Ovis aries: one gene and its partners. The protein of the gene in region 5 interacts with the protein of the main gene of each other region in a pairwise test. Links are inferred from orthologs where the notes say so. Each region holds a gene or a part of one and is shown on either strand. Other genes may lie near its edges. The genes, in order: HMOX1, FAM3C, STX8, ABHD16A, CREB3, AQP5 and MS4A1.

Region 1 (3,257 bases), on a different chromosome or scaffold from region 5:
TGGGTCCCTTTGCAAATTACCATGTCTTGAGTGGTACCCAAGCAGGCACTCAAGGCTCTGTGGTACTCATTAGCCAGGGTTACAGACCAGGACATTGTTGCTCCAGAAATTCAGTGCCTGGGTGGTGACTAACCCAGAGGTCACACGGAAAGGGCCAGCCCTCCCATGGGGCTCTGGCTCCAGAGCGCCTGTTCTTTCTACACCACCTTTCTGAAAGATACAGCTTTTCTTAGAAGAGTGACCAGGTGTGCTGGGTTTTTAGTGGTATGCAAAGGACGCACATTGCTCAATAGCAAGTGCTATGACCAATCTCTTCTGGGATCCCAGGCTGGGAATAAGGAGCCAGGAAAGCATAAACTAAGAGCCCAGTTCCCACAGGGCCTCCAGATAGGAGGAGAGCGACAGAATTCTACAACATCAGGGTTAGAAGGAATCTCACCCCCACTGGGAACACCCACCCTGGCTCTGCCTAAGAGATCACCTTTCAAGGCAAAACCCATCTTCCCCTGGATTTGAGACACTTGTAGAAAGAACAGATCACGCCTCCTGGCTGGGCTGAGAGGCCCAGATGGCGGAGGCCAGGTCTGCAGCATCCGTGAACCCTGCAGTGCCAACCTGGCTACATATGAGCACACAGCCTACTTGTATGTCGTCACAGGGAGTTGTCACAGAGTGCCACAATGGTGATGCTCACATCGTACAATAACCGTAGCTAACTGCCCACATCCGCTGATCATCGAAAAAGCAAGAGAGTGCCAGAAAACATCTATTTCTGCTTTATTGACTATGCCAAAGCCTTTGATTGTGTGGCTCACAAGAAACTGTGGAAAATTCTGAAAGAGATGGGAATACCAGACCACCTGACCTGTCTCTTGAGAAACCTGTATGCAGGTCAAGAAGCAACAGTTAGAACTGGACATGGAACAACACACTGGTTCCAAATAGGAAAAGGAGTACGTCAAGGCTGTATATTGTCACCCTGCTTATTTAACTTATATGCAGAGTAGAGTACATCACGAGAAACGCTGGACTGGAAGAAACACAAGCTGGAATCAAGATTGCTGGGAGAAATATCAATAACCTCAGATATGCAGATGACACCACCCTTATGGCAGAAAGTGAAGAGGAACTAAAAAGCCTCTTGATGAAAGTGAAAGAGGAGAGTGAAAAAGTTGGCTTGAAGCTCAACATTCAGAAAACTAAGATCATGGCATCTGGTCCCATCACTTCATGGGAAATAGATGGGAAAACAGTGGAAACAGTGTCAGACTTTATGTTTTTGGGCTCCAAAATCACTGCAGATGGTGACTGCAGCCATGAAATTAAAAGACGCTTACTCCTTAGAAGGAAAGTTATGACCAACCTAGATAGCATATTGAAAAGCAGAGATATTACTTTGCCAACAAAGGTCCGTCTAGTCAAGGCTATGGTTTTTCCAGTGGTCATGTATGGTTGTGAGAGTTGGACTGTGAAGAAAGCTAAGCGCCGAAGAATTGATGCTTTTGAACTGTGGTGTTGGAGAAGACTCTTGAAAGTCCCATGGACTGCAAGGAGATCCAACCAGTCCATCCTAAAGGAGATCAGTCCTGGGTGTTCATTGGAAGGAATGATGCTGAAGCTGAAACTCCAATACTTTGGACACCTCATGCGAACAACTGACTCACTGGAAAAGACCCTGATGCTGGGAGGGACTGGGGGCAGGAGGAGAAGGGTCAACAGAGGATGAGATGGCTGGATGGCATCACCGACTCGCTGGACATGAGTTTGAGTGAACTCCCGGAGTTGGTGATGGACAGGGAGGCCTGGCGTGCTGTGATTCATGGGGTCGCAAAGAGTCAGACACAACTGAGCAACTGAACTGAACTGAATGTTCGAGGGCTGACCCTGTAACATGTCCTGCTTTGGGGACTTGATTGATTTAAGCAGTCACAACAACTCTGTGAGCTAAGTGCTATTATATCCCCATTTTACAGATAGGGAAACTGAAGTACAAAGTGATTAAGATAAAGATTTGCCTAAGATCACCCCACCAGGTAAGTGACAGAACTGGAACCCTGGACCCCAAGCCCCTGCCCTTAACCATGACCGCTGACGCCCCCCGCCCCCAACCCTGCGAGAAATGTCCCTGGAAGAGCAGCTGGAGGCAGGGTGGCCACGCAGCACAGCCCAGACCCTCACCTGGATGTTGAGCAGGAAGGCGGTCTTGGCCTCGTCCAGGACCCTCTGCCGGACCTCGGGGGTCATCTCCAGCGTGTTCATGCGGGAGCGGTACAGCTGCTTGAACTTGGTGGCGCTGGCGATATTGGGGAAAGTGAAGAAGGCCAGGCCCTCCCCAGAGCTGGGCAGGTTCAGGGCCTTCTGAGCAATCTTCTTGAGAACTTGGCCCCCAGACAGGTCGCCCAGGTAGCGGGTGTAGGCATGGGCCACCAGCAGTTCGGGCTCGGCGCGCCCCACCTCCTGGAGTCGCTGAACATAGCACTTGGTGGCCTGTGTGTAGGGGATGGCCTCCTGCCAGCGGGGCCCGTACCAGAAGGCCATGTCCTGCTCCAGGGCGGCCCGGCGGTGCAGCTCCTCTGGGAAGTAGAGGGGAGTATAGACGGGGTTCTCCTTGTTGCGTTCGATCTCCTCCTCCAGGGCCACGTAGATGTGGTACAAAGATGCCATCACCAGCTGAAACCAGAGCAAGTAGGTGGTTATCAGAGCACCCAGCCCCTTCGCACTATCGCCTTCAGAGTCATCCTTGTCACCTCCCCAGGCTGGGCTCCCACCTCCTGCCAGCCCCTCCAATCCTCCCCACGTGGCAGCCAGAGAAAGTGTCACAGGAGAAAATTTTCATCGTGCACTGTCTGAGCCTAAAAACCTTTTATTACACTGGAAAAAATACGAATCCTCATTTCATCCTTGGAAAAATCTAACAAAGGAATGGCTATGCCCATTTTACAGAAAAGACACTAAGGCTCAGAGAGGGTATGAGACACAGAAGTCACAAAGCTAGTAAGAAACAGAAATGGAGCCAAGCACAGGCATGGCTTTCTGGAGAAAGTAAGTGAATGAAAGTGCTTACAGGAGATGCCAGGCACCTCTCCCTGGCTTTTGACTTCTGGGGATCCATCTGCAGGGCACAGCTCTCCCCAGAAGACCCCTCTGAACCCCATCACCTCTGAAAGCTGGGCTGGGGGACAGACAGCCCAGTGCCCCTTGGCTCGGGTAACTCCCATTACACATTAATTTTCTAGTTTTGAGTTAGAAAGAGGACA
Region 2 (4,411 bases), on a different chromosome or scaffold from region 5:
CTGACCTGACATGGTGCACTGGGATGACCCTGAGGAATGGGATGGGGAGGGAGGTGGGAGGAGGGTTCAGGATGGGGAACACATGTATACCCATGGCTGATTCATGTCAGTGTATGGTTAAGAACCACTACAAAATTGTAATTAGCCTCCAATTAAATAAATTATTTTAAAAAAAGATGTGATGACCTCCCAATACTATGAACGCACTAAATGTCACAGAATTGTACACTTAAAAATAGTAAATTTTATGTTACATAGATTAATTTTTAAAGGCAACTGAAAAACTCACCAGAGTGAAGCTAGAAAAATAAAGAACAAATGAAAATTAATTAGATTGGAAATAAGGGAGATATAAGTAATAAAAATAGCTTGAATCAAATGAACAGGCCAGTGAAGAAGACAATGGAAGAATACTGATGGGGTGAAACTGTGGAAACTTAGAGGTAGTGGAACATAATTTTCTCCCCTGAGAAAATATCAGCTGACTCTATTTTAAGAGCAGAATAAAATTCACAAAACCTTTTCAAGTTTAAAGAGCTTGGGAGTCATGTGCAATCACCCCAATCAGATTAAGGAAATTAGGCAAAATATGATATTAAATAAATTGGTCAATGCCCTCTATTGGGCAATGAACTAATTGCAGAATTACTGCTTAAAATCCCAATTTTCTGATCCCAGGTTCAGGAACTCTTCTGGACTAAGTTTAAGACAAATGTTTGCTATTTACTAAATTCTCAGCTAGATGCATTTCTGTGATACATAAGACCAAAATCTCTTACTTCTTAGGTCTTGGACCTTTCAGCTCTGAGAAAGGAGTTATAAAAGTAAGGAGTCGGGGGTGGGGGAAGACTCACTACCTCAGAGAAAGTACAGTAGCTTTGAGAGCCAAGGCTGCCTTATTCACAGTATCCATGTTACCTATAATTACCAGCAGGCACAAATAAGTACTCTGGTATGTCTAATTATGAATATACAAGTTTTCAAATACTGAGGCTGACCATTTAAGACTTAAAATATGTGGTTAAATAAAAGTTAAGACTCTTCTGATGCCCCACAAGGACTACATATCACCATTCAACAACAATCTCTTTATCCTCTGACATTCTCTCCAATGATCTTTTCCTTTTTAAGGTATCTTCTTTAATTACAAAAAGATTTAGTTACTTAGTAATTATTTTTAAAATTGTAACAGCTATTAAGTTTATTTAAAACGTCACTTTAACCTAGTGGCCCTCAGTCTTACTTTGACTCCCTTTTAAACAGAAGATCCCTCCATTGGGGTCTTGGGGAGGAACCTGACTTGTGTCCTTTTTTGAAGTCTCATTTATAGGTGATTCTGAGAGATCCCCTGGGAGAGTATCACTGCATCAAACTCTTTTTATTTCTTGCTATCAAGAAAAATGAGTTTAGATAACATTACACAGACTAAAGCTTCTCACACCTGTATAAAGTGGGGGGCGGGGCGGCAGAAACGCTGTGATTTAATTAGTAAACTGCCACAGAACTTGAGACTGGCAGCCTTTAAAAAGAGGTATAGTTAATGATATGGATATGACCACAACCAGATGCTGATTCTGCCAATCTCTTGCTGGTGCTAGTAACTTGAATTTTCTAAGTTAAATGGAGATCCCGTTGTACTCAATAATGCACTGCATGAATAACATTAAGGTCTCCCCAAAACCTATAAAATTTGACAGGATATCACTAGCCCTGAAAGGTAGTTAAGAGTTCAAGGGGTCTGGGATCTCCTGCTAGTCTCTATCTTTTTGAACCTAACCTCTAGGGGAGTTCATATTTTCTCAGTAAAATTGGGAAAATGCACATACTCTATGGGTCGTTAAGAAATAAATGTGCATCTGAAAGCAGCTGGCACAGCGCCTCGTAAGCAACTGTATTCATACTCTTTTTGGCCAAATAGAAAGAAACAAAGAAAAGGTTCTGTGAATTAAACAGTTTTGTATGATCAGAAATTTTTTTAAAAATGCAGAGAGTGATGAAAATAAAAAAAATTCAGCTGGAGATTGTCAGTCCATCACTCATTATTTAAGATCTAGGGTCACAAATTGTAACATATTGTAAAAACTGTGAGCTTAGCGGCAAACAAGTGGCAAAAAAAGAAAAGAAAAAAGAATAGTACGTCCATCCGTGATACTGAATACCAATGGGCTGGATAGGTTTAAAAAATAAAAAGTACCTCCAGCTCAGAAGACACTGAAACTTTACAACTGAGCCAAGATCGCCCTCCACAGAGTTCTAACGCAACATCCAACTCCATCCCCGCCCCTTTAGAGCACTCGGCCCGCATTTCCGACCCGAGCTGGAGACCGAGCGCTGGACGCGCGCCCCAGGTGCCAGCCCCAGGCCGGAGCGCCAGGTGCAGGCGCCGCCCCGCCCTCCGCGGAGCCCGGAGACTGGCCGCCCGGCTGGGGATGCCCGCGCGGGGCCGGCGGCCTGGACCCCCGGCCCGCCACGCTCCGGTGCCCCGCTCCCATCGCGCCCTGCCCCCGGCGGGACGCGCCCCGACCACCCCGGCACGCCCCGGGCCGGCGATCGCGGCGGGAGCGGAGGATGAAGGTGAAGGTGGGTGCCCGGCTCCCCCCCGCCTCCCTCAGACTCCCTGCCTTCGGCCGCGGCTCGGTCCGCCTCCCGGTCCGTCTCACCGGCCTCCAGCCCGCCTCTCCGCCGCGCGCGCCCGCTTTCCGGGCTCCCTGCGGTCAGTCTTGCAGAAGGCCGACGGGAGCCGCCGCCGCCGCCGCCGCCTCCGGTTCGCTCCTCCGCTTCCTCCTGGGTTCCTCCGGCTTCCCCTCACCCCTGCGACTGGCCAGAAGGAAGCCAGCTCGCCGCTGGGCCGCCTCCCCCGCTTCCCCGGCGCAACCAATGGGCCCCCGCCGCCGGCAAGCCGCGCCCGCCCCCTGGCGGTGGAGGACTGAGCTGGCGCCGTGCAGGCCCGAGGAAGGGCCGGATAGCCAAGGGAGGGCTCTGCGGCCCCGCCCCCTGTCCGCGCCGGGCTGTCTGGACCTGCCACGTGGGAGAGGAGGGGGCGGCGGCCGTCTGCACCCCAGAACAGGGCAGAAGTGTCACGGCCTCTCCCCGCGCTCCCTCGTCCGCCACCCTCTGCCTTCAGTCACACTTCCATAATCCCCGCCTTAAAGGAAGAAATTTTAAAATAATCAGTCCCATTTTAGAGCTCCATATTCGAGATGATCATTATATCCTCCTGACTCCTAAACTAGCTCACCTATGGCAAAGATACTACCTGACTGAGCAGCAGAACGCTGGTAACCTTAAATGTTGGACTCAAGGAGAAAGGCAGTTCTTGTATTTTGCACCTCACTTTCTTTTTTTCTTTTTTTTTCTTTTTTTTTTTTTGCTTTTTTAATTTAAATTTATTTATTTTGATTGGAGGCTAGTTACTTTACAATATTGTATTGGTTTTGCCATACATCAACATGAATCCGCCACGGGTGTACACATGTTCCCAATCCTGAAGCCCCCTCTCACCTCCCTCCTCATACCATCCCACTGGGTCATCCCAGTGCACCAGCCCCAAGCATCCTGTAATGTATTTAGCAACGTAACAGAAATGTTTTTCTCCTGTACACACGTTTTCACACGATCATGTGTTAACTGGGAGATCAAACCAAAAGCTGCAAATGCAAAATTGTTTCATAATTCTGATCCACATTCCAAAATAATTAATAACTATAATTCTTATTAGCAATATTAGGTAGAATATCAAGACAATACATGGTTGTAGAAATTAAATTGCATTAAAGAAATAATAGGGTTTAATCATAGTATTCTACCAAGTCAACATACCTGGAAAAATAGAAAATACCGAACTTAAATAATAGCTGTGAATTTGGAAGTGTGTGTTCTATGATAGGATAAAGAAGCAATAAATGCATTCTGAGAGCCTTCTTTGCTTGCACCTTGCTGGGCATTTGGGAATGTGTTCCCATTTAATGTTCCCAACTCAGACTGAAGTCGATAATAGCTGTGTTTTGCTTTAACTGATAAAAAAACCAAGACTCCAAAGTTGAGTTTAAATCACTTGTTTGAAAATATAAGGGAGTACGTTGTGAAGTTGGAATTCTAGCCTGGTCCATCTAGCTTCAAACAAATACGGCACTTCGTTTCTTATGATACAAAAATACAACATGTTACACACCTTCCCTTGATCCCTAGGTCCCACTGAGAGAATTTCAGTTCAGTTCAGTCGCTCAGTCGTGTCTGACTATTTGCAACCCCATGAACCGCAGCACGCCAGGCCTCCCTGTCCATCACCAACTCCCGGAGTCCACCCAAACCCATGTCCATCGTGTGGGTGATGCCATCCAACCACCTCATCCTCTGTCGTCCCCTTCTCCTCCTGCCCTCAATCTTTCCCAGCATCAGGGTCTTTTCAAAT
Region 3 (4,613 bases), on a different chromosome or scaffold from region 5:
AAGTTGAAAGGAAGGGAAAGAGCCTGGCATGGTCGGCTGAGGGGTGGTCCTGGGTAGGACAGTGAAGAACAAGATGGCAGAAAGGAGTTGAAGTTAGTTTCTGCAGAGTCTTGAGTAGCATAATAATAAGGTTTGAAGGGAATTTGAGAACTGTGGGGTATACTTTTACAGAGAAACTGAGGCCTTGAAGAGGTTATGTGAAACGCTTACGGCCAAAACCCCAGTTGCCTTGCTCCTAATCCTTGGTTCTCACATGAGCTCTACAAACTGGTTCTGAAGTTCTTCTATACATGTGGATCACTGTCTGGTCTGCAAGTCCTCAGTTGTGTCCAACTCTTTTGTGACCCCATGGGTTGTAGCTTGCCAGGCTCCTCTGTCCATGGGATTTCCCGGCAATAATACTGGAATGGGTTGCCCTTTCCTTCTCCAGGGGATCTTCCCACCCAGGGATCCAAGCTGCATCTCCGGCATCAGCAGGCAGATTCTTTACCACTGAAGTACCTTGGAAACCCCCTGAATCACTGGGGACGTGTTTTAAAGCTTCCTCATACCCCAAGTATTCTGATTGAATTGGCAGGGGCCTTGCCCTAGACGTGAGGAGTTGTAAAGCTCCCCGGGAGATTCCAATCTATAGCACAGCTTGAGAACCACTGGCCTAGTGGTAATGGGCAACCTGACGATGGAATCAAACACACAGGCGCCTAAAGTGCTAGTTTAGGAAAAGTAACCTGAACTCCATGTACACAAATCATTGGGAATGAAAGAAGAGTAAAGGAGACCAGTAGAAGACTTCTCCAGCTATTCAGCTCCATAACTAGCCACCAACATTTACTTCTGTAAACCATAAGGCTATAAAGGATTGGACAACAGCAGAAGAGAAAAAAATAAAAATCATGGAGATGAGTCAATAATCTGACAGGACGAATGAAGAAAAAGTAGATAACTAGAGTTTTTTAGGTTTAAGAGACTAAGAGGATGGTGACGCCATGACAGAGGCTGAGGAACTGGAATGGAGAGCGAAAAAGTGATAAAGCTGATTAACTTTTAGCAAAGAGCCTGTTCAGAGACAGTCACCATGCGATATTTCTATCACACAGTGAGCTTACCATTTGCTTTGATATGCCATTAAAAGAGTAACAGTCATATTCTACTTCCAAACATGAGTAAAGCATCACTGACATGATTCTCGATCGCAGGAGGGCGAAGCTGTAATCAAGTCTGTTTTTCTAGATTTTTCTAAGTCCTATTCCCTACTCCTTTCTGCTCTCCTGATCAGCAGCCCACTTTTCAAGGAAGTTGACTGAGCACAGCAGAGTCCCCCAGTGTCTCACTTTCAACAAACATGAGAAAGCTGCTAAGTTAAACTTCTTCAGAGTAGCAGGAGAAATTATCAGTGCTTTTTGCACGTTAACCAAGGAAGAGGCCTAGGGGCTTGGGGATAGTTTCCACCCATCTAAATGGATACCCTGGGACCTCTACCTTATTTCTGAGCTATATATCCTACCTTATGTGTAAAATGAGGGAATTAGCCTCCATGAAGTGGAGGGCAACGCAGCCATCTGTATCAAGGGCCTTAAAGATGTTCATACTCTTGGACCCAGTAGCTCCACTTCTAGGAAGCAAGTCAAAGAAGTGAGAGATGGTACCAAGGGGCAATTAAAAAAAATAAAAGCAAAAAAAACCGTAGTGTTTTTTAAAAAGGTACAAAGGGACAATGATTAAATCACACTCCATCATGGTTATTCACATGATACACTATTAAGCAACATAAAGATTGTGTTTTCAGGGAATATTTGCGATACAGAGAAATGGTCTCTGTTTCTATAAAATACATTATATACACACATATATTACACAAAGTAAAAAATTCATTTAAAAAGTCAACAGCAATTATTCCAGATGATAGAATTAAGGATGTTTCTTTTTTCTTTTTTTCCCTCTGCAAATATTCAGTATTTTCTAAATTTTTCTATCAGGGTGTTAAAATCAGGTGAAAAAAAAATAGTATGGAATCAGTTAAGCCATTGGTCCAGACAATCCAGATCCTAGGTAGATTAACTTTGATCTTGCAAAGTTAATCTATTAATATCCAGACTGTCTGCAAATTAACTATAAACTATGTTAGAAGTACTAATGTGAGACATATTCTCCAAAAAGAACTTTGTAGAGCTAGACGGTTTTTAATTAGTAAACGAAAAGCTCAAGTGAATATGCTATTGCAGTAGGTTCCTTGGATCGGAATTTGTGCCTTTCATCATTCAGTCCTAGGGACTTTACTGTTGAATAAAAGACTCTTCTCAGCTACTGTTTTACTGCATAAGTTGCTGCTGTAGACAGTCTTCATGATACTGAGGTGAGGACAAAATACCTTATCAACAACAGGCATAATTTCCTTCCCAGATTCCTGTAAGTTTTCTTTGAAGGGCGCACAAGATCTAGACCCCAGCGTCAACTGGTTACTAACTCGCTTACTCCCGTGAATTCTGAACCTCGGTTTCGCTACCGGCGAAATAAGGAAATTGACCAGAGGGACTTGGGTTCCACCAAAAAGGTTACTCTGTACTTCACTTTCACAGGAGTCCCGCATCAGCCAGCTCCACCACCAGGATGGAGATGCGGCTCAGAGATTCGGCGCTGGAACTCCTCCAAGTGTACACCGCGTCTCCCACCCCAGCCACCCCTGCAGGACCGAGAGTGGCGGCGGGATGCGACGGAGCGCAGCCCCTCAACCCCCGGCTCTCGGCGGCAGCAGAAGGATCCCTGCTCCCCCACCCCTCATTCTGAAAGGCCCCCGGCCCCAATGCCTAGCGATCACCCGCTCCCCGGAAGCCTGGCCTCCCCCGAGACCGTCCGCGCGCTGCCGCCCTCACCCGGGGCTCACCAGGGGTCCGGGGCCATGGTGCAGTCTCCGCCCGCAGCTCGGACACTTCCTGCTCGCAGCAGCTGACTACGGCGGCCCGCGCGGCTCACACCCTGCGGCTCGACCCGTGCGCGCCCGGAACTCGTAGTTTGCAATATACATACCCTAAGGCCTCCAATCTATTGATATGAGAAAAAGGAAAGCGCTTCCCCGGGGACTGAGGGCTGGACCAGTTTGCGTCCTAAGAGACGCGAACAGCTGGGTGCAATTAAAATAAAATTGTTTTCGAGCAAAATCCCATCATTTTCCCCGGAAGGTGGGAGCCCCTTAAGACCTCTAGCAGTTATTTAACATTTTATTCTGCTTAAAACAAAGAAAAAAAACTGGATTGTGGTGATAATTGCACAATTGTATAAATTTACTAAAACTCAATTTAAATAAATTTTAGGATATGTAATTTATACCTCAATAGTTTGTTTGTTTGTTTTATCCTGCTTCAAGGGACCCAAAGAAGTGTCAATTATATATTATAGCAGCCTTGCCAGCAGAGGCACTTAACTTTGTCTAATTTTTAAATGCCATCAAGTATTTGATTATATCGTTACCCAAAAGGTCACAGACTCTTTACATGGGGGAGGAGGGAATTAGTCTGTCCATTTCGTGCCCCTTAAATTTCCAGAGAAATACTAGAAAATTTAAAAAGAAAAAAAAAAAAATGCCCTCTCGATTTTCGCGAGGGCAAAAGGACTCGGACTCCGTAGGCCGGCTTTCAGCGCGACCGCGGATCTAGCGCGCATGCGCAAGTCCGTTACCATAACGACCAGAAGACGCTGCACCTTCTGTAGGCTGAGAGGAAAGTGAGCGGAGTCTCCAGATGATGGAGACCCAAACTTCGCCCAAGGATGAGGTGGCTGAGGCAGTAGAGCTGGAGCTTGAGGCCGTGATCGGATTCAATGGTGAGACCTCGAGCGTGTCTGGGCTGGGTGGTTTAGGGACCCCAAGGACAGTGTGGTGCAACCAGGGAGAGTGAGACACCAGGTGGCACCTGGAAGGCAGCTTGGGACGCTGGCATGAGTCAAGCACTGGGGACCCAGACAGCCTCTCCTCCCCAAAGATCTTAGAATCATGTCCTCGCTCCAGGCCTTAAAGAATGGGATGGGTTTTGCAAACGTCTGAAAGGAACCAAATGCCCCCTCACTAGGCCATAAGGATAAAAAAAATGCTATCTGAAACCGTTCTCGCACTGGCCAGCTCTCCCCTGGCTCTAAGCCCCACACAGCCAGCAAAACTGCCTGCGCCTCAGTATTGGGTTACAGAATACGTGTAGGTCCCTGGGAACAAGTAACCTCTAAAATCCCAGCTGATACACTAATAAGAAGGGGCTGGAGGGAGTGGGGAATTTGTGTTTTGAGCAACCGCTTTAGGGGATGATTTGTCTTCTAACCAGAAGGAAGGTGAGGATTTCAGACCATGATGGACACCAGGGGGGGATGGACCGGAGAGGTGCTTTGGTCAGAGGGGCCTGGTTCTGACTTATGACCACCTCCTATCTGGAACATGAAGAGGGGAAATGCTGTTTGGGTTTTGAGAAGGATGAAAACAAGCAATGGATTGCATTTTAGAAAAAGCCAGCTTTTAAAGAAAGTGCATTGTGATGCCTGAAAGCTTTAAAATTGTAGTAATGTAGACACAGAACAATCAATACCTAAAGCTTTAGCACATTCTAGGACTTGGCTCTTGAGTCTTCTCTTCG
Region 4 (4,381 bases), on a different chromosome or scaffold from region 5:
GCCCACCAGGCTCCTCTGTCCATGGGATTTCCCAGGCAAGATTACTGGAGTGGGGTGCCAATTCCTTCTCCAGAGGATCTCCCTGACCCGGGGCTTCCCTGGTGGCTCAGATGGTAAAGAGTCTGCCTGCAATGTGAGAGACCCAGGTTCAATTCCTGGGTGGGGAAGATCCCCTGGAAAAGGAAATGGCAATCCACTCCAGTATTCTTGCCTGGAAAATCCCATGGATGGAGAAGCCTGGCGGGCTACAGTCCATGGAGTCGAAAAGAGTCCAACATGACCTGACCCAGGGATCAAACCTGCATCTCCTTCATTGACAGGGGATTCCTTACCACTGAAGCACTTGGGGAGCACCTGTATAAAGTTCAAAAACAGGCAAAAGTAACGTCTGAAGTTAAATTAAAATAGTGGTTACCCATGGAAGGATCTAGAGATTATCACACTAAATGAAATAAGCATGCATCATGCTAAGTCACTTCAGTCGTGTCCAACTCTTTGTGACCCTATAGACTGTCATCCACTAGGCTCCTCTGTCCATAGGATTCTCCAGGGAAAAATACTGGAGTGGGTTGCCACTCCCTCCTTGAGGGTATCTTCCCCATCCATGTTGCTTAAGTCTCCTGAATTGGCAGGCGAATTCTTTACCACTAGCGCCACCTGGGAAGCCCAGAAGAAGTAAGTCAGAAAGACAAGTACCGTATGACATCACTTACATGACAAATGAATTTATCTATGAATCAGACTCACAGATATATTTAATTAGTGCACCTTTCTGTATATGTGTTTACTACAATGAAAAGCTAAAGGGTTTATATATTATGTAGGTGTAAGGTACAAAGAAAAAAAAACAGCATACCTTTTGAGAAATAGAATATTACCCTTTCAGCCAACGATCCTCTACGCTGTGTAACAGTGTTATACATTTGCTCTTTATCTTTCACATAATTGATCATTGAATTTTATGTGTTTTTTAACTTCATACTATGGTGTCATCTTGTATGTAATTATGGTTCTGAGAATTGTTCACGCTTAAGTGCGATAATTCATCCTTTTGTTTTTAACCAGTGTTTCACACATCTTAACGATACTGAATCTTCCTATTCATAACCATGGCGTAGCTATTTATTCAAGCCTTCGCTTACCTCTTTCAGTAATTTTTGTAATTTGTTCCTAACATCTTGCATTTCTTTTCTTAGATGTATTCCTAGATATTTTTGTTGCTCTTTTCAAACGCTAATCTTACCCCTTTTTCCCACTGTCGCTCGAGAGTCTGCCAATATTAAGGGGCAGAAAAAAGTGACTTAACCATGTCTCATGATAGTTCTAACTCTCCACAATCCAAACGCCTGCAGCTAATTTCTGACCACTGCTGCACCCGTAGCTCCGAATGCAGGAAACCCTACTCAAGAAGCGCTGAAACTGTCTCAACTGGGCGCGAGGCGGAGCCGGTACGTGCTGACGTCAAGGGCACGCAACACCTTAGCGGCCCTGGGAGGGCGGGGCTGACAGGGGGACCTGCTGCTGGAAGAGCAGCGGCCCGGGCCGGGGCCATGGCGAAGCTGCTGAGCTGCGTCCTAGGCCCCCGGCTCTACAAAATCTACCGGGAAAGGGACTCTGAAAGGGCCCCGTCCAGCGTCCCTGGGACTCCAACTTCAGTCACTAACCCTCACTCCAGCTCCTGGGTGAGTCGATTCTCCCCTGGTTAAAAAAATAGTACGGCCCAAACCCCTTTGCGGCCTTTGCTCCCCAGAAGCACCCATTATTGGAAGTCGGGAGAGACTGCTTGTCAAGCCAGTTTTCCGCAAAGTCTGTGCTCTTTGTGCTTCCTGGGTTAAAGTCGCGCCTGTGGACTGACCGCCTGCTTTACTGCTGTTTGCCAGTGCTTTCTCATTCCGACTGCCACTCCTAGCTTTTTCCTTTCGCGACCCCTCACCCTGCTCTTCGTGGTTCATGCCATTCCCAATTGACTCCTAAATCCTGGAAGAGAACCCGCTCGGATTCCGGAGCTGGATGATTTTGCCTTCAAACTCTCAATTTCCTCGTACCCCGTGCCTCACCCGGTTCCGTTTATCTCCCCTGGCCTTGAATTTCAAAATGACTTCTGCAACATTTAATATATCCGGTCTCCCCCACCCCACCTCTAGTCTACCTTAGAGACCTCAGGATCATTGTGTTCAAGAAAGCCGGTGAGGTGGTAGGCAGTGCCCCTAAATGCGCTCCTCCTTTTTATCGGTAGTCTCAAATTATGTCCATTGTACTCTACAAACTGCCCACCCCCAGCCACATTCTCTTCCTTAATGAATCTGCGCTTCCGATGCTTTTCTTTTCCTCTTAAAGTTGTCATGGTGTCGTTTCTTCCCTAACCCCGATCCCCATCCGCCCACCACCCATTTGAAACTCGTTTGTGGAAAAGGAGCAAAAGTCGGCCAAAGCTGCTTTCACTTTTGCTTCCAAGTCCAGGCCCCTGTGTTTGTTCTCAGGATCTGGAGTGAGAGATCAGGTTATGAGTCAGGGTGGGGAAGAGGGGAAGCAAAGACGTCCCAGGAGAGATGATTTTGGGAGCTAGGACTAGAGTGTTGGAGAACACACATCAGGCCTTCCAAAAGGGATGGTGGAGGCCTTGTCAAGGAGCAGGGTCCTTAATTCGGCCATCTGTTTTGGCAGGATACGTACTATCAGCCCCGTGCCCTCGAGAAACATGCTGACAGCATCCTGGCACTGGTATGTCTGCCCTGGCATCTGGGACTACCGCATCTTTTCAGATCCAATTGCCCTCTTGAACCTTCTCCTTCCCATCCTGGGAGAAGGCAGTACCCCTAGGGGTGGGGGATGCTCTGGGCTCTGCAGCAGGCATCTCCAACACACATACACCCAGACAGCTCTCCAGCGTGCATACTTGGTACTCCCCTTTGGCCTATGCACGGCTTTCTCTGGGGCAGCGTGAACCGTTGCGGAAACCGTGTTTACTTTCGGGACCATCCGCAGGTGCTGAGTCCTGCAGTCCCCAGTGACCTGTCCTCCCTGGCAACTAACCTCTTTGGCTGCAGAGACAGCTGTTCTCTCTGGCAAGGTTCCTTTGGTGACATTTGTGCATCTCTTAGGGACCGGGCCAGGGACTGTCCTGAGCAGGGCTGATTGAAAAGGCTTGATTACCTTGAGTGGAAAGAGACTGGTCTTTACGTGTGATGAAATTATGTCCAGAGATGATGAGAGGAAGACAATAGAAGCCGTGCCAAGTTTTCCCAGCCTCTGTTAACGCTCTGACACACTACCTTTCAGCAAATAATTGAGCACCTTCTGTGTGCGTGGGGTCATGCACAGAATAGGTACTTGATGTGATATCCCTCAGGTTATTCACTTTGCTCAGAGCCTAGACCCGGTAATGGCAGACCTGTGTGTGTGTGTATTGATTGCTTGTCCCTGTCTCTCTGCTGCAGGCTTCAGTCTTCTGGTCCATCTCTTACTACTCCTCTCCCTTCGCCTTCTTCTACTTGTACAGGAAAGGTCAGTGTGACTTCAAAGGTGATGGGACAGGAAATGGGCAGATCATTGGCAGCTGAGCCGATTCCCCAATGAGGAAAGGGGACCTGGGATGAGGATGGCTTGGCTTCCCTCTTCCATCAGGCATCTTCTCCCTCTGAGGGCCTGCTGTCCCCCAAAGAGGGTGTGGTGGGGAGGTTGGGACTGAACTTGGCAGAGGGGCTGGGGGCCAGTGGAAAAGCTTTTCACATAATCCTTCTCCCCTCCCAGGTTACTTGAGTTTGTCCAAAGTGGTGCCATTTTCTCACTATGCTGGGACACTGCTTCTACTGCTGGCGGGAGTGGCCTGCCTCCGAGGTAGGTGGAGAGGGAGCCTGGTTTGGATCTGTCCATCACTGGGTAAATATTCATTAAATACCTTCTGCAAATACCATTTGGTGCTAGGCCCTGAGGGGAAGTAATCAGTGGTCAAGACATGATCTTTTCCTTAAAGGGCTTGAGTCATAAGTATGAACAAATACTTAGCAAAAAGGTTTGCTATTATCTAGAAAAGCTGCACATACCCTCCGACAGTTCCATACATATCTATGTATGTTTGTAATAATCCTACACTGGACTCCATGACCCCACATAGCAGGATGGATAAATATGTTAGAAGGTCAAGTCCTAACCCAGAACACCAGAGAGCAAGGCACTGGACGAACTGGTTACACTCAGCTACACAGATGAATCTCACAGATGCAACGGGGACCACCAGATAATTTATGCACTATGTTTCCATTTACATGAAGTTCCAAGGGATGCATAAATAAGTGGCACAACACGGAAGAGAAACACAGGCATGACTGTCTTAAAAGTCAAAATTAGGGAGAGTGATTACCTGGGAATGGGGAGAGAACAG
Region 5 (4,416 bases):
ATGCTCCCCACCCCCATCCCAGAATCATATCTTCTATCAAATGCCATCTGCCACATGAGGTCTTACTCCCTCTCTTCCTCCTTGATACTTATACTTGTGAATTTATTCCCCATTACTGTGAGCTTCATGGAATCAGAGACCCACTAAAGACCAAGCATCAGACATATGTGAGAGATGCCCGGTGACAAATCAAATATGGAGCAGGAGAAAGACTGAGACAGTAGTAAGCGGGAGGGATGAGCAAACCCTGATGTGAAAGAGCTGCTTACAGATTCTGTTCCTCCAGGAGCTGTACTTTGTTCTGTAGCTCCAGATTCTGGGCTGTGTATTTCAGGACCCTGGAGGAATAACAGGGATGTGGGGACATGGCCTGTATCCTCCCTTCAAAAACCTCACACTTCCAATTACCTGTTTCTCCCACCCCCGAGTCCAGCTCCCTTTCATACCTGCTTTCTAAACCCCCCACATACACCTTCTTCTTCCTACGGCTCTCTTGAGCAGACTTTTTGTTTCGAATCTTCCTCCGCACTCGTTTCAGGACTTGTTCCTCCATCTGGGAGAAGACAGGAAAAGGGATCCCATCAGAGGAACATTAGACCAAAGAGTTTGAAGGCAACCGAGTTCAATCTTCTCAAAGCAGAGATTCCTTCTACAATTTCCCTGACCAATAGGCACTCTGCTTCTGTCTGAATGCTTCTGTCCTCACAAGCCAAACCATTGTAACAATTTTGTTAGATAATTTTTTTTTAAAACCTTCCTTATGAGCCAACATCTGCCTTTGTTATTTCTACCTGTTGGACTTACCTAGCACCTAATCTCTGGGGCCATAATAGAACAAAGGTCTTCAGCTATTTTAAAGCACTTGGCATTTCTTCAGAGTTAAAAAAAAAAAAAAAAACTGGGCAAAAATTTTAACTCATCATCTTATCTCTTCTCAGGATGGACTGCATCTTCTTAATATCTGTCAAAGATAATAGGCTCAAAACTTAAGAAGCTTTTTGGCCAATGTAAAAGAAAACAAGATAGTTACTGCCCTTCTAGTGGCAACACTATTAGATAACTGGTATCTGATGATACAACTGGGCTTCCCCAGTGCCTCAGCAGTAAAGAATCTGCCTACAATGCAGGCGACTCAGGAAACACAGGTTCCATCCCTGGGTTGGGATGATCCCCTGGAGAAGGAAATTGCAACGTACTCCAGTATTCTTGTCTGGGAAATCCCATGGACAGAGGAGTTTGGGGGCCATAGTCCATGGAATTACAAAGAGTTGGACACGACTTAGCGACCAAACAACAACAACTAAATCTGATGATACAGCTTCTAAACCCCATTCTCTTCCTTAGTAGCCATATCACACTGTTGACTCAACTTGTACTTTTTTTTGGCCACACCTCGCACTTGTGGAATCTCAGTTCCCAGACCAGGGGATTGCACCCTGGTGCAGACCAGGATTGCACCCTGACCCTGAGCAGTGAAAGCACAGAGTCCTAACCACTGGATTGCCAGGGGATTGCCTCAACTTATATTTTTGAGAAATTAAAATTGTTAACCTTTCTGTTAACAGACATTGATTTCATCATAGTATCACAATACTGTGCATGTGAAACTGCCTCTCATTGCTTGAAACTCCAAATTTCACATTTACTCTTGTTATACTACTTAATTGTTATACTACTTGTTATACTACTCTAATACTTGATTTACTATTCAGCTACAAGTAAATTGCATGAAACCAGTGAAATATAAGTATCAGAGCCCCGCGCTTGTACAGTACTTTCCAAATCCCTTTACTAATATTACCCTGATAATTTTGAATTCTTAGTTAAAAAGAACACCAAAATTTATAAAAGCACTACAAACCAGGATCTGTCCTTGCAAGCAGTATACTAACCACATGCCCCAGCTTCCTACTCAAAAATGTGCTAATCTCTCACCTCAATTCTTTTTCAAGTTACTGATACAAAATTAACAGAACTGGCCTACTTGGAACTCACAACCCCCGTCCCCGCGATGGGAGACTTACCTTAGTGAGTGGAAGCATCCCAGGCAAAGTAAGCCCCTCCTTCTCCAACAGCCTTTTCTCCTCCTCAGTCAGTATCAGCCTAGCAATCTCCTGCGGTTCCGGAGAGATGGGCAGCAGAGTTGCAAAGGGATTTCAGAAAGTAACGCGGAATACTGCCCCGACCCGCGCAATACGGAAATAACCCTCCTATAAGTCAAGTACCTGATCTGCCGGCTCCTCCACACACAGTGGAGTCATCTGAGTCCCCTCTTTTCCATAGCTCTCATTATCTGCAAAAGGGAAAATATGAGTAGTCAGGCCTCGGAGTCCTCTCCTTTCCCAAACTTCACTTATTTCAGGCTTACCTAGATCTATGGAGACATGCTCTTGTGAGAGAGAATAGGTGTGGTCATGCTGGACAAGACAGGAGTTAGAGCTGCTGAAAACGTTCAACGATGATGGGGGACTCGGCAGGCAGCTCAGGAAATCCTCCACGTCCCAATCGCTCAGAGACTGCACAGGGTTCAAATTGACAGGCTTTGACCATCACCACCCCCTGCCTCAGGGACACCCCTACCCCGCCCACAAACCCGCCTCACGCCTCCCCGACTCAGAGCCCCCCACTCGCCTCAGAAAGTGGCAGCTCCCAATCCGGCGGAGACGCCAAGGCCTCGTCGGGCGCCGCACCCAAACCACCGCTTTCCTCTAGCAGAAAGCCTAGCAGGTCACGGTCACCCGGGTCCAACGCCAGCTCCATATGAGACATTTATGGAAAAGATGCGCAGAAACACAGGAGTTCACCTCGCCACCCGGACCCTATCCCCAACCAGGCGTAACCGCGACGGACTGTCAGTCGGCCCCACCTATCGGCTCTTCAGCGGCGTTTTCCTCCTAGCTGCTGGCGAAGGCTCTGAAACCGGGACACGCCTTCCAGACTCCACTCCCCGCTAGACTTCCAACAGAACACAAGTGACGCACCTACCCGCGAGGCATGCCGGGAGTTGGAGTCCCCCACCCCACCCCGACGCGGAGGCTGCCGCTGTACGCGCCACGTCCAGGGCGCGATGCAAATAGAGGGGACGTGCCTTCCGCCTCCGCAGTCCCTGAGGGCGGGCATTCTGAGGAAGCGGCTCCGCCCCGGGCTAGAAAAAGGAAGGATTACAGCCTAAAAGGGAACTAGGGCGCAGTTCTGGCGCTTCCTCGGGACTGCACCGCACCCTCGCTTCCGGCTGGGGAGGGGCTGCCGGTCGTCAGCGGGCTCCCGAGCATCGAGAGCTGGGGCCAGAGCAGCTTCCTGCAGTGCCCGCGACCATAGAGCGCGGGCCCAGGGCGCCGCCCGCGGGTGGGGGACGTTCCCGGGACGGAAGTGGCCGAGAGTGTCGAAGGGAGGGCGAGGCCGCAGCCCGAGAGCCACCGGGAGAACGAGCGGGTTAGCGGGCCGGCGGGCGGGGCACAGAGCCGGGCAGCGCAGGTAGGCCGGACCGGGCGAACTGGGGCCTCAGGGTGGGGCCGCGACACCAGGCCTGGGAGGCGGGCGGGCAGGGCCCCTGACTTCTGCGTCTGTTTCGGGTCATCTTGGAGAGGTTCGCGTCCGGTGTATCTCTGCTTGTGCTCTGAGTTAAATAGGCAGTTTTTCGGCAGCCAGGCCCTTCCTGGAGCAGTCCTCGGCCTAGGATAGTTTAGAGGGAGGGTGAGGAGTGGGTGGCAGTGTGACGCAGGGCGGGGATCGGCTTTGAGGTTAGCTGATAGCGGGTACGTGAGCAGGAATGGGTGAGTTGGAGATTAGGTGGAGTTGGGTTTTAGGAGTTAAGGTTAGCTTTAGGAGTGTGCAGCTGGGGTTAAAATTTAGATTTATTAGTGTGAGGTGCGTTTTGTGTAGGTGAGGTTTGGATTAAGGGCATTATTTTGTTTTCTATAACGACCAACATTAGAGTTCAGGTTAAGGGTCAACAACAGAAACTAAGTTAGAAGTCCAGATTTAGGGATTAGAGAAGGTTAGCATAGCCAGTACAGGGGATAAACAAGAAAGGGGTGAATCAGGAATCAAGTGACAAATGAACTTTAGGTTTAGGGATGAAGATTCAGGGTTAAAGGTCCAGAGTTGATGCTACAGGTAAAAATTAGATCAAAATTAGGGATCAGGGATTGGATTCAGGTATGTGGTAGGACAGGGATGCCTGTCAAATCCAGTACTGGGAATCAGGAGACAAATTATGGTCAGCATTAATGTTAGAAATTTCAGGCAGTTTTCTGTGCTGTAGTTGAGGTCAGGGTAGTTGACCTCAGGCAGGTGAAATTTAAGAGACTGGCAGTAGGTAGATGCCCTTGTTTTGTGGGGAAGGCTTCTTTGGCCCAGGGAAATGACAGACTAATTTCAGGCTAGGGTTCTGGGCTAGCTGGAATTGCTGGCATC
Region 6 (4,544 bases), on a different chromosome or scaffold from region 5:
GCTTAGTCCTCAAAGGCCTCTGGGGTCACGAATGTCATTGTTCCAGTCTGCACCGGTCTGTACCAGGCCCACAGACCCCTGTGCCCCCAAGCCCAGATGAAGATCCTGTCACCCTCTGCCAGGATCAGGGCCACAGGACCCAGGGCAGATGGCCCCCTGTCTTAAGAGGAGAGACCTGGGGGAGGAGCAGCTCCCGCAGGAAACCAGGGCAGAGCAGGAACAATAGCAAGGTTTCTTCCCCCCTTGTTTTCTTTGGCTTCTTAGCTGCCATGGAGCCCAGGTTCCTCCTCCAGGTCCTTGACTTTCCTCCAGCCCGCCCCTCAGCCCTCTGACGGAACAGCACCTGTTCCCTCCCTCTGCAGGAGGCTTTTAAAATTACAGTCACCATGTGAGGAAACTTTACTGGAGCCTCTGTGCCAAGCACCAGACTGTGCTTCCCAAAGATGGGGCATGGGAGCGGTGGAGGCGTCTTCAGTGCAGCTCCACTCCTGGAATCTCGGGGGTCAGTCTTTGCCCCTCTTCCAAGCTCTCAAGGGCCCTCCAGCCTCATTCCCCACATACCTACCCGGGGATTAGGAAAGAGGGAAGGATGGGAGGGGTGCGGGTCGGGGGAAGAAGGGGCGGCGGAGAGGAGGGACTGGGAAGGACTGGAAGAAAGTGTTACCCAGTTCACGGGTGGGAGAACTTGACTTTGGGGGAACTAAAAAAGACCACATGTAAGACATTCAGACGTGGAAAATGATGCAAAGACTGACAAAGTCACAGAGAGTAAAAGAGATGACCAAAGGTGAAATAGAGAGTGGATGCGAGGATGGCCAAGTCCGGGGCAGGCTGGCACGGTGCTCATTAATCCCAAACGCCCCGGCTCATTAATCCCAAACGCCCCGGCTCCAATCCAGGAGGTCTGCCCCGCCCGAGTCAGGGAGAGGCCCGCGATGGCCTGACCGCCCCGCAAGGCCCTGCCCGGCCGTCCGCCCCCGCCCCCGCCACCGCGGGCCCGCAGGGAGCTGGGTGGCGGCGGCGCTGTCCTCAGGGAAGCGCATCATTCCAGCCCGGCCGGGCATGAGGCCGGGTCAGGATGCCCAGGTCGCAGGAGGAAAAGGAGGAGCTGGACCCAGCGCCCGGAGAGAAGAAAAGGGGAAGACCACGCCAGAGATCAAGGCTCAGCGGAGGCACCCGTCCGGAGGGCCGAAGAGCGGCAGAGCCCAGAGCCAGCAAAGTCTCCCCGGGAGCCCGGGACAGACAGTGGAGTAGGAGCGCGGGAGCCGCCCGGAGCGCACTATGCGCGGGTCCCAGCCCGCCGGGCCGGTCTACACCGCCGGCCGGGTCACGTGGCCCCAGAGGGCGTGCGGCTGCCCGGGCGGGGGGGCGCGCGGGGCCGGGGGCGCGGCGGCCCTGAAGTGCCCTCCGTGCGCGCGGTGCTGGCCCCCGGGCGCGGGAGCCGCCCACTGCCCCCCCGGGCCCGCCCCGCCGCGGGCCGCCTGCCTGGTATATAGCGCGCCCCCGCAGGCCCCGTGCCACGTCGCTAGCCACGCCGCGGGCACCCGAGACTGTGCGGCGCCCCCGAGCCAGCCCCCCACCCCCTGCACCGCTGCCGCCCAAACGGGCGACCCCTGCGGGGGCTGCTGCCTCGACACCATGAAGAAGGAGGTGTGCTCCGCAGCCTTCCTCAAGGCGGTGTTCGCAGAGTTCCTGGCCACCCTCATCTTCGTCTTCTTCGGCCTCGGCTCGGCCCTCAAGTGGCCGTCGGCAATGCCCAGCGTCCTGCAGATCTCGCTGGCCTTCGGGCTGGCCATAGGTACCATGGCCCAGGCCCTGGGGCCCGTGAGCGGTGGCCACATGAACCCCGCCATCACGCTGGCCCTCCTGGTCGGTAACCAGATCTCCCTGCTCCGGGCGGTCTTCTACCTGGTGGCCCAGCTGGTGGGCGCCATTGCTGGCGCCGCAATCCTCTATGGGCTGGCCCCGTACAATGCCCGAGGCAATCTGGCTGTCAATGCGGTGAGTGCCCAGGGGGCTGGCTGTGGGGCAGGGACCCTGGGGTGGGCTCTGGACCTGGTCCCCAAGCCCCATCTCCAGGATGGGTGGCACAGAGTAGACCAGCCAGCTAACACCTTTGCCAAGAAGGTCATAGCACCCTAAGGCCAGGAAGATGAATCTCCATGGTGGTGCGTGCTCTCCGCCAGCTCCTCGGTTGGTATCCGCCTCCTCTGCCCGCCCACCCACCTCGCGCTGCCTCATCCCAGCCTCTCTCCTGGTGCCTGCTGTTTGCCTTTTCTTACCTCTCTTCTCCTGTCTTACCTCCGAGCTCTTCTGTCCTCCTGGGCACCTCATCGCTCCTGTGATGTCCTCAGTGGAGTGGTCTCATGGAACCATCAGTGACAGATGGGTTGTGATCCTGGCTTTGGTGACCCCAACCTCTCTGGGTTTTGTTTTTCTCATTCTCATTACATGGGAATGGCCATGACCTCCATAGAGTGGGACTCAGGGGGGTATGTTTAGAAGCCAGGTTTGTGGGCTCCCTAATCAGGTGCCCGTACATATGGTCTCTGATGAATATTGCTTTGTGCTCCTGGACCCCTCCCCTTCCCGCCATCCCTAGAACTCCAGTTTCAGCCCCCTTGTCCCATGCAAACTGGGTTCATTAATCAAACACAGAGGAGGATTTTCTCGGCCATTGTCAAACCATGAGTCAGCCCCACCGGAGAGACGGGTTTGAGGTTTGGAACTGGCAGTGGGTCAGGCACGGGCGGGAGGCGGGCTTGGGGGGTGCAGTAAGCAAACTGGGCAGCTGCCCACAGGAGGAAGGGTAAATGCCAGCTTGTGGGGGTTGGGCCTGGGCAGACTGGTGACGGGCCAGTGTCCAGGAAGAGGTCCCCCAGCTTTGTCACTTTGGCCACAGCTCTGCGTTCCAAGCTTTCTGAGCACTAGCGAGTATATAGTCTCTTTGGCAGATGACCTCCCTGAAGTGGCAGGGCTTGGCTTCCAGGCACTTGGGCCCTAGGAGTCCCTGGAGACCAAGACCCCCATCCCTGCGGGTTCCTGGCCATAGAGTCAGAAGAAAGCAGGGATCCTAACACACCATCCCCTTGCAGCTCAACAACAACACGACTGCGGGCCAGGCTGTGGTGGCGGAAATGATTCTGACCTTCCAGCTGGCACTCTGCGTCTTCTCTTCCACTGACTCCCGCCGCACCAGCCCAGTGGGCTCCCCAGCCCTGTCCATTGGCCTGTCCGTCACACTGGGCCACCTAGTGGGGGTGAGCAAAGGCGCCATTTGGCCCCTCAGGGCAAATAATGGGGCCCTGGGGCAGCACCTTCTGGATCAACGAGCACCCCAGTGAAGACCTAGAGTGGAGCTGCTAGACTCTGGCCCAGACCCAATCCCCTCCAGTGTGAGAAAATACAGGAGCGAGGGGGAGTTGGGATGGGGGCAGGAACCAAGCCCAAGCTCAGGACAGAGAGGAGAGGAGGGTCCAGAGGGAACTGTGAAGGGAAAGGCACCAGGCTAGGAATCGGGGGACAGTTGGATGCCTGGCTGAGCCCCTGAACTGCTAGGGGACCCCAGCGTGGGTCCAGGCCTTGTGAGTGTGGACAGGCATGCTGCCCTCCTCACGGCCTCCTTCTCTCTGTCTAGATCTACTTCACGGGCTGCTCCATGAACCCGGCCCGATCTTTCGGTCCCGCAGTGATCATGAGTCGGTTCAGCTCCGCACACTGGGTAAGGCTGGACCCTCCCCTGTCTCCCTGGCAATGAGTGCCTAGAAACCCAGCCTTAGCAGTTGACAGTTAACAGGACTTTCTGGATGATGGGGGCCCAGAGCTTGGGGGTGACTGGAGAGAGAAGGGGATGCAGCCAGAACCAGGGCTAGATTTAGATGGCAGGGGACCCTGTTTGGGGGGCAGCGACTATGCGTGTCTGTCCCTCTAGGGAAGGGAAAGGCACCTGTGCTCTGGAGTTGATCTCTGAGGATTTGGTTTCCATCTTTTGGGGTGGCAGGGGGCAGGGAGGTCCAAGTGTCTGTCCTCTCTGATGTATTATTTATCTGTCCCTGTTGGGGACTGGGGAGAGTCTGCCTTCCTGTGGGTCTGTCCCTCTGGACAATCTGTCTGTCATCTCCTTTGAGAGTTCATGGTCTCTCTCCAGAGTCTGTCTCTCTCCCTGTGTTCATCTCTCTGAGGTTCTCCATGTCTCTTCCCTCTGAAGGTTCATTTGTCTCTCTTTAGGGTGGGGTTGGTGGGCTTCCCAGGTGACGCCAGTGGTAAAGAACCTGCCTGCCAATGCAGGAGACGTAAGAGACTGCAGGTTCGATCCCTGGGTTGGGAAGATCCCCTGGAGGAGGACACGGCAGCCCACTCCAGTATTCTTGCCTGCAGAATCCCATTGACAGAGAAGCCTTGCGGGCTACAGTCCATACCGTCGCAAAGAGTTGAATGCGGCTTGCAGCAGTGGCGTAGTGGGGTTGGCGGGGGCCCTGTCCCTCTGGACCCTTTCAGCACCTGGGTGTCAGTGTCCTTGGTCATCGGGGAGTGGGGTGTCAGTT
Region 7 (3,859 bases), on a different chromosome or scaffold from region 5:
CTCCTGCAGCATCCCTCATCCCTGAGACCATAAGCCTGCTCTTCATCGGTCTGCCTCTGTTTCCACGGACACCCCGTTTTCACATTTGCTATGAACCGATCACAGTAGCATCACAGAGGAGCTTTCCCTCCTGGGGGTTGAGGGGTAACAGTGACTGTGACTCCAAGGGTCTTCCAGGGCCCTTGTTTCCAGCGGGGACAGCAGATGCTGCTCTGATGTGTGGGAAAGGAGGGCGTGCGCTACTTGCCATGCTCTGCGTGGAGTTCTTCTCCGCTGCTGCCAGCAGTGATCCAGAAATGATGTGCTGTACACAAGAGAGGTGGTGGGAGGGGAGGGGTGGGGAGAGATGGGAGAAGCAGCGGGGAGAGGGGCAGAGGGGAAGATCACCTTTTAATGCGGAGAAGCAACTGTGAAAAAGCTGTCCACCCTTTCAACCACTTTCCCTGCGCTATTCAGCCCTTTTTAATGGCTTCATTCATTTTTCAGCACATCTTTCTCCACTATTCAGGCCCAACCACATTAAATCCTTGCCTTTCATTCAACCAGCTGGGGATCTGTGACTAGGCATTTAGTAAAACCAGAGGCAGAACTCACATTTCCATGTCAATTAGTTCTCACACAGTGAACTTAAAAGCTTTATTTTTAGCTTTCCATTAAAAAAAAAAATTGAGGGAATGGTTCTTTGGAGTTCACAGTGCTTTAATGACTGATGGCAATGATGAGTGGACTGCCGTAGAAGACGCACGTGGCCTGCCTGGAGCAGGCGCTCTGCTAAAATGTGGGCAGCTACAGGAAGTGACCATTGTTTCCCGTCTTCCTTTTACTCTTTAAGCTGTGAAATGGGGGAAACTCTGGCTCTAATCGATCTCTTCTTGCCCTGAAAATTTCAGTCCTGAGCCTGTCTTCACAGCTCATCTACGAAAGTGTAGTGGGGATAGAGACGTCGCTGCCTCACGCCTCATCCACACAGGGCTTCAGGCTTGGAAACTGCACGTGAGGCAGCCGTGGGGATTACTGCCCCACTGGCAGGCGAGGGGGACTCACTCGGCACGCGACTGTCTCACCACATGAGACAGGAACTGAAGAGAATCCTCGGGAAGAAGGGCCAGGTGGGAGCAGCTGCGATGCCCCCACCCACTCTTGCTTTCTGAAACACCAACCCTCAAGTCTAGGACCCACCCAGCTCCACCCCAGCCGCTGAGTTTGGAGAGGTCGTGCTTGGAGCGGTCTTCCCTCACTGTGGACATCCACGTCGGGCCGCTTTCTCTGAATTCCCAAGAAGCATGACCACTGACTCAACCACGAGACTCGGGCTCAACTCAGACTCTTTTTCCTTTAAATCACTTCAACCAGACAACCTGTTCCCCAGTCCTATGCTTTCCTCAACACACAGGTGATCTGGTACATTCCCATGGAGCTTCTTTGAACATTTGTGTATCACTCCCTCAAAAGGTTACTAGGCTTTACTCACCACGATGCCTCCCCAGAGAGGGTACCACAAGGTTACACAGATGGGCATGTAGACGTCCGCGTGGATCAGCATGAGGCTGCCCAGGGCAATGTGGAACAGCCCGTTCATGATCTGGACGGCCTGGGGGGAGGAGAGGGGCGCTGGTGGTGGGACTGAAATCGGAGAGTCAGGAAGCAGGAGGGGGCCTGGAAGCCTTGACTCCTGAGCGGAAGGGCGGCGTGAGATGTCCAGAGCCAGCGCTACAGGGCCCAAGACCTCTGTGGTCTTCAGGGGCAGCGTGAGATGTCCAGAGCCCGCGCTAAAGGGCCCAAGACCTCTGTCGTCTTCAGGCCCACTTCCCCCACCCCCCGGCACTCCCAAGGCAGGTGCGCTGGGACGCGGGTGATGAGCTGGGGTGCAGGCCCCTAACTGTGCCAGTCTAAGGCACAGGGCAGGGGGGCATAAGCGGCAGCCATCTCTTCGCGTCCCTGGTTTGATCCTCCCCCCTCGCCCCGCCCCCCCCCCCCACCCCGGCCATGTCAGACATAAAGAACACCTCATGTTGGATCCAATACCTTTAAGTCAGGTTGGATCCTGTGCCTGGCCCATAGCAGCTGCTTCTAGAGGCCAGGGAGTCCCTAGGGTGTGGAGTGCAGGGCGACTGACTTACCCCCAGAGCCTTCGCCTCCCTCATGAAGAAGCTCTGTGTGGGGCCCACCACCGTGGGCGCCCTCCTGGGGACCCCTTTCTGAGCAGCGTGCATAGCGGGGGGGCCTTTCAGGGGCTCTGCTGGGAAAGCTCCAACCACTGAATTCCTGGGAGTCGTCATCTCACCCTCAGACTCCTGAGGATAAATGATAAGATGAGAGGAAACAGGATTGTCAGCCAACCTCTACCTTGTCATGGATCTGAATGGTTTCCCCTGTGTTCTCTGCACGGTGTCACTGAAGGCAGTCAGGGCCTCTTCCTACTGGCTTTGGATCGAGGCAAGGCCTCCCTCCACGTTCTGAGACAGGGTCTGGGGGAGCATCTCAGACAAAGCACGACACGTGGAGTATTTCCTGCCTGGTCAGTGACTGAGGATGGCAGAGTCAGCAGTGATTCTGGCCCTGCAGTGTGAATTTCTGAGCTCTAAGGGCACCCATTAAAAGAGGCTTGCTCCTTGGAAGAAAAGTTATGACCAACCTAGACAGCATTTTAAAAAGCAGAGACATTACTTTGCCAACAAAAGTCCATCTAGCCAAGGCTATGATTTTTCCAGTGGTCATGTATGGATGTCAGAGTTGGTCCATAAGGAAAGCTGAGCGCCGAAGAACCGATGCTTTTGAACTTTGGTGTCAGAGAAGACTCTTATGAGTCCCTTGGACAACAAGGAGATTCAACCAGTCCATTCTAAAGGAGATCAGTCCTGAATATTCATTGGAAGCACCGATGCTAAAGCTGAAACTCCAGTACTTTGGCCACCTCATGCGAAGAGTTGACTCATTGGAAAAGACTCTGATGCTGGGAGGGATTGGGAGCAGGAGGAGAAGGGGACGACAGAGGATGAGATGGCTGGATGGCATCCCTGACGCAATGGACATGAGTTTGAGCCAGCTCCAGGATATGGTGAAGGCCCGGGAGGCCTGGCGTGCTGCAGTCCATGGGATCAGACATGACTGAGCGGCTGAACAATAGGAAAGGAAAGATTTCTGGGAGCCCAGACTCTTACATCTTCCATACACAGAAAAGCACCGGGTCCCCTAACTTGGAAGGTCTGATTTCCTTTAATTAACAGTAACACCTTGATGTTCAGGCTAGCTGCCTTTTGTTTCAAAACTTCTGAATGACCTGGTGCCTTCCCAGGCGCCTTCCCTCAGCTCTTCAGGGCAGTTCTCTCAGGATTCCTTGAGATGCTGCCTCCTGGGCTTAAGTCCTACAAATTTCTGCCAAATAAAAGGACATTCTCAACTTTTAGGCTGTGACTGTTTTTTAAATGTACAGGGATCTGGCTCAGGGGTCCCTGCCAGTGTTCTCGACACCCACACGAGGGTCATGGTTTTGCTCTGTGGAGAGTGTCACGCTCGCTAACTCGTGGGTTCTGTGCGTCTGTCAGCCTTGGATGCTTTTCTTGTGCTTTAACATAAGAAAATGTATTTTTCACGGGCTTGTCCTCGTCCCTTAGCTTATCTGCTTTTGTCCGTGGTGATGGGCCAGAGTCACCATGAGCAGATGGACGGGTGGAAGATGGTGACGACTGTGCCTGCAGTCAGGAGGGGCTGGTACAGTCTGCCCTGCTCCCACTCACTCTGCAGTCTTGAGCGCATCGCCTCAGGGAGGTTCTCGAAGGTTCTGTGTAAGACGGTGGCCTCCTGAGTCGCACATCAGACTGCCTAGGTTTAGATCAAGACTTCCCTGTTTGCTGTGAAA

The links.
Region 1: the proteins of CREB3 (region 5) and HMOX1 interact in a two-hybrid assay, tested with the Homo sapiens proteins (2 studies listed by BioGRID and IntAct). The two-hybrid records come from large-scale screens. The link is inferred for Ovis aries from reciprocal best matches to the Homo sapiens genes CREB3 and HMOX1.
Region 2: the proteins of CREB3 (region 5) and FAM3C interact in a two-hybrid assay, tested with the Homo sapiens proteins (2 studies listed by BioGRID and IntAct). The two-hybrid records come from large-scale screens. The link is inferred for Ovis aries from reciprocal best matches to the Homo sapiens genes CREB3 and FAM3C.
Region 3: the proteins of CREB3 (region 5) and STX8 interact in a two-hybrid assay, tested with the Homo sapiens proteins (3 studies listed by BioGRID and IntAct). The two-hybrid records come from large-scale screens. The link is inferred for Ovis aries from reciprocal best matches to the Homo sapiens genes CREB3 and STX8.
Region 4: the proteins of CREB3 (region 5) and ABHD16A interact in a two-hybrid assay, tested with the Homo sapiens proteins (2 studies listed by BioGRID and IntAct). The two-hybrid records come from large-scale screens. The link is inferred for Ovis aries from reciprocal best matches to the Homo sapiens genes CREB3 and ABHD16A.
Region 6: the proteins of CREB3 (region 5) and AQP5 interact in a two-hybrid assay, tested with the Homo sapiens proteins (2 studies listed by BioGRID and IntAct). The two-hybrid records come from large-scale screens. The link is inferred for Ovis aries from reciprocal best matches to the Homo sapiens genes CREB3 and AQP5.
Region 7: the proteins of CREB3 (region 5) and MS4A1 interact in a two-hybrid assay, tested with the Homo sapiens proteins (2 studies listed by BioGRID and IntAct). The two-hybrid records come from large-scale screens. The link is inferred for Ovis aries from reciprocal best matches to the Homo sapiens genes CREB3 and MS4A1.

What each region holds. Positions count from the first base shown.
Region 1 is NC_056056.1:179,237,915-179,241,171, reverse strand, and holds part of HMOX1 (heme oxygenase 1), read right to left. Parts: intron 2,671-3,257; coding exon 2,179-2,670; intron 1-2,178.
Region 2 is NC_056057.1:87,537,191-87,541,601, forward strand, and holds the start of FAM3C (protein FAM3C), read right to left. Parts: upstream 2,820-4,411; 5' UTR 2,661-2,819; exon of another isoform or gene 2,622-2,660; intron 1-2,621. UniProt on the Homo sapiens protein: May be involved in retinal laminar formation. Promotes epithelial to mesenchymal transition.
Region 3 is NC_056064.1:28,677,159-28,681,771, forward strand, and holds the start of STX8 (syntaxin-8), read right to left. Parts: upstream 2,911-4,613; 5' UTR 2,899-2,910; coding exon of another isoform or gene 2,882-2,898; intron 1,613-2,881; 5' UTR 1,588-1,612; coding exon 1,505-1,587; intron 1-1,504. Other genes in the region: CFAP52 (cilia- and flagella-associated protein 52), read left to right, coding at 3,735-3,816. UniProt on the Homo sapiens protein: Vesicle trafficking protein that functions in the early secretory pathway, possibly by mediating retrograde transport from cis-Golgi membranes to the ER.
Region 4 is NC_056073.1:26,686,708-26,691,088, forward strand, and holds the start of ABHD16A (phosphatidylserine lipase ABHD16A), read left to right. Parts: upstream 1-1,550; coding exon 1,551-1,682; intron 1,683-2,664; coding exon 2,665-2,721; intron 2,722-3,437; coding exon 3,438-3,504; intron 3,505-3,750; coding exon 3,751-3,837; intron 3,838-4,381. UniProt on the Homo sapiens protein: Phosphatidylserine (PS) lipase that mediates the hydrolysis of phosphatidylserine to generate lysophosphatidylserine (LPS). LPS constitutes a class of signaling lipids that regulates immunological and neurological processes.
Region 5 is NC_056055.1:52,808,313-52,812,728, forward strand, and holds the start of CREB3 (cyclic AMP-responsive element-binding protein 3), read right to left. Parts: upstream 2,916-4,416; 5' UTR 2,770-2,915; coding exon 2,632-2,769; intron 2,517-2,631; coding exon 2,369-2,516; intron 2,294-2,368; coding exon 2,226-2,293; intron 2,115-2,225; coding exon 2,025-2,114; intron 554-2,024; coding exon 447-553; intron 339-446; coding exon 270-338; intron 1-269. UniProt on the Homo sapiens protein: Endoplasmic reticulum (ER)-bound sequence-specific transcription factor that directly binds DNA and activates transcription. Plays a role in the unfolded protein response (UPR), promoting cell survival versus ER stress-induced apoptotic cell death.
Region 6 is NC_056056.1:136,330,185-136,334,728, reverse strand, and holds the start of AQP5 (aquaporin-5), read left to right. Parts: upstream 1-1,519; 5' UTR 1,520-1,638; coding exon 1,639-2,001; intron 2,002-3,095; coding exon 3,096-3,260; intron 3,261-3,637; coding exon 3,638-3,721; intron 3,722-4,544. UniProt on the Homo sapiens protein: Aquaporins form homotetrameric transmembrane channels, with each monomer independently mediating water transport across the plasma membrane along its osmotic gradient. Plays an important role in fluid secretion in salivary glands.
Region 7 is NC_056068.1:81,834,302-81,838,160, reverse strand, and holds part of MS4A1 (B-lymphocyte antigen CD20), read right to left. Parts: intron 2,295-3,859; 5' UTR 2,280-2,294; coding exon 2,121-2,279; intron 1,592-2,120; coding exon 1,472-1,591; intron 305-1,471; coding exon 248-304; intron 1-247. UniProt on the Homo sapiens protein: B-lymphocyte-specific membrane protein that plays a role in the regulation of cellular calcium influx necessary for the development, differentiation, and activation of B-lymphocytes.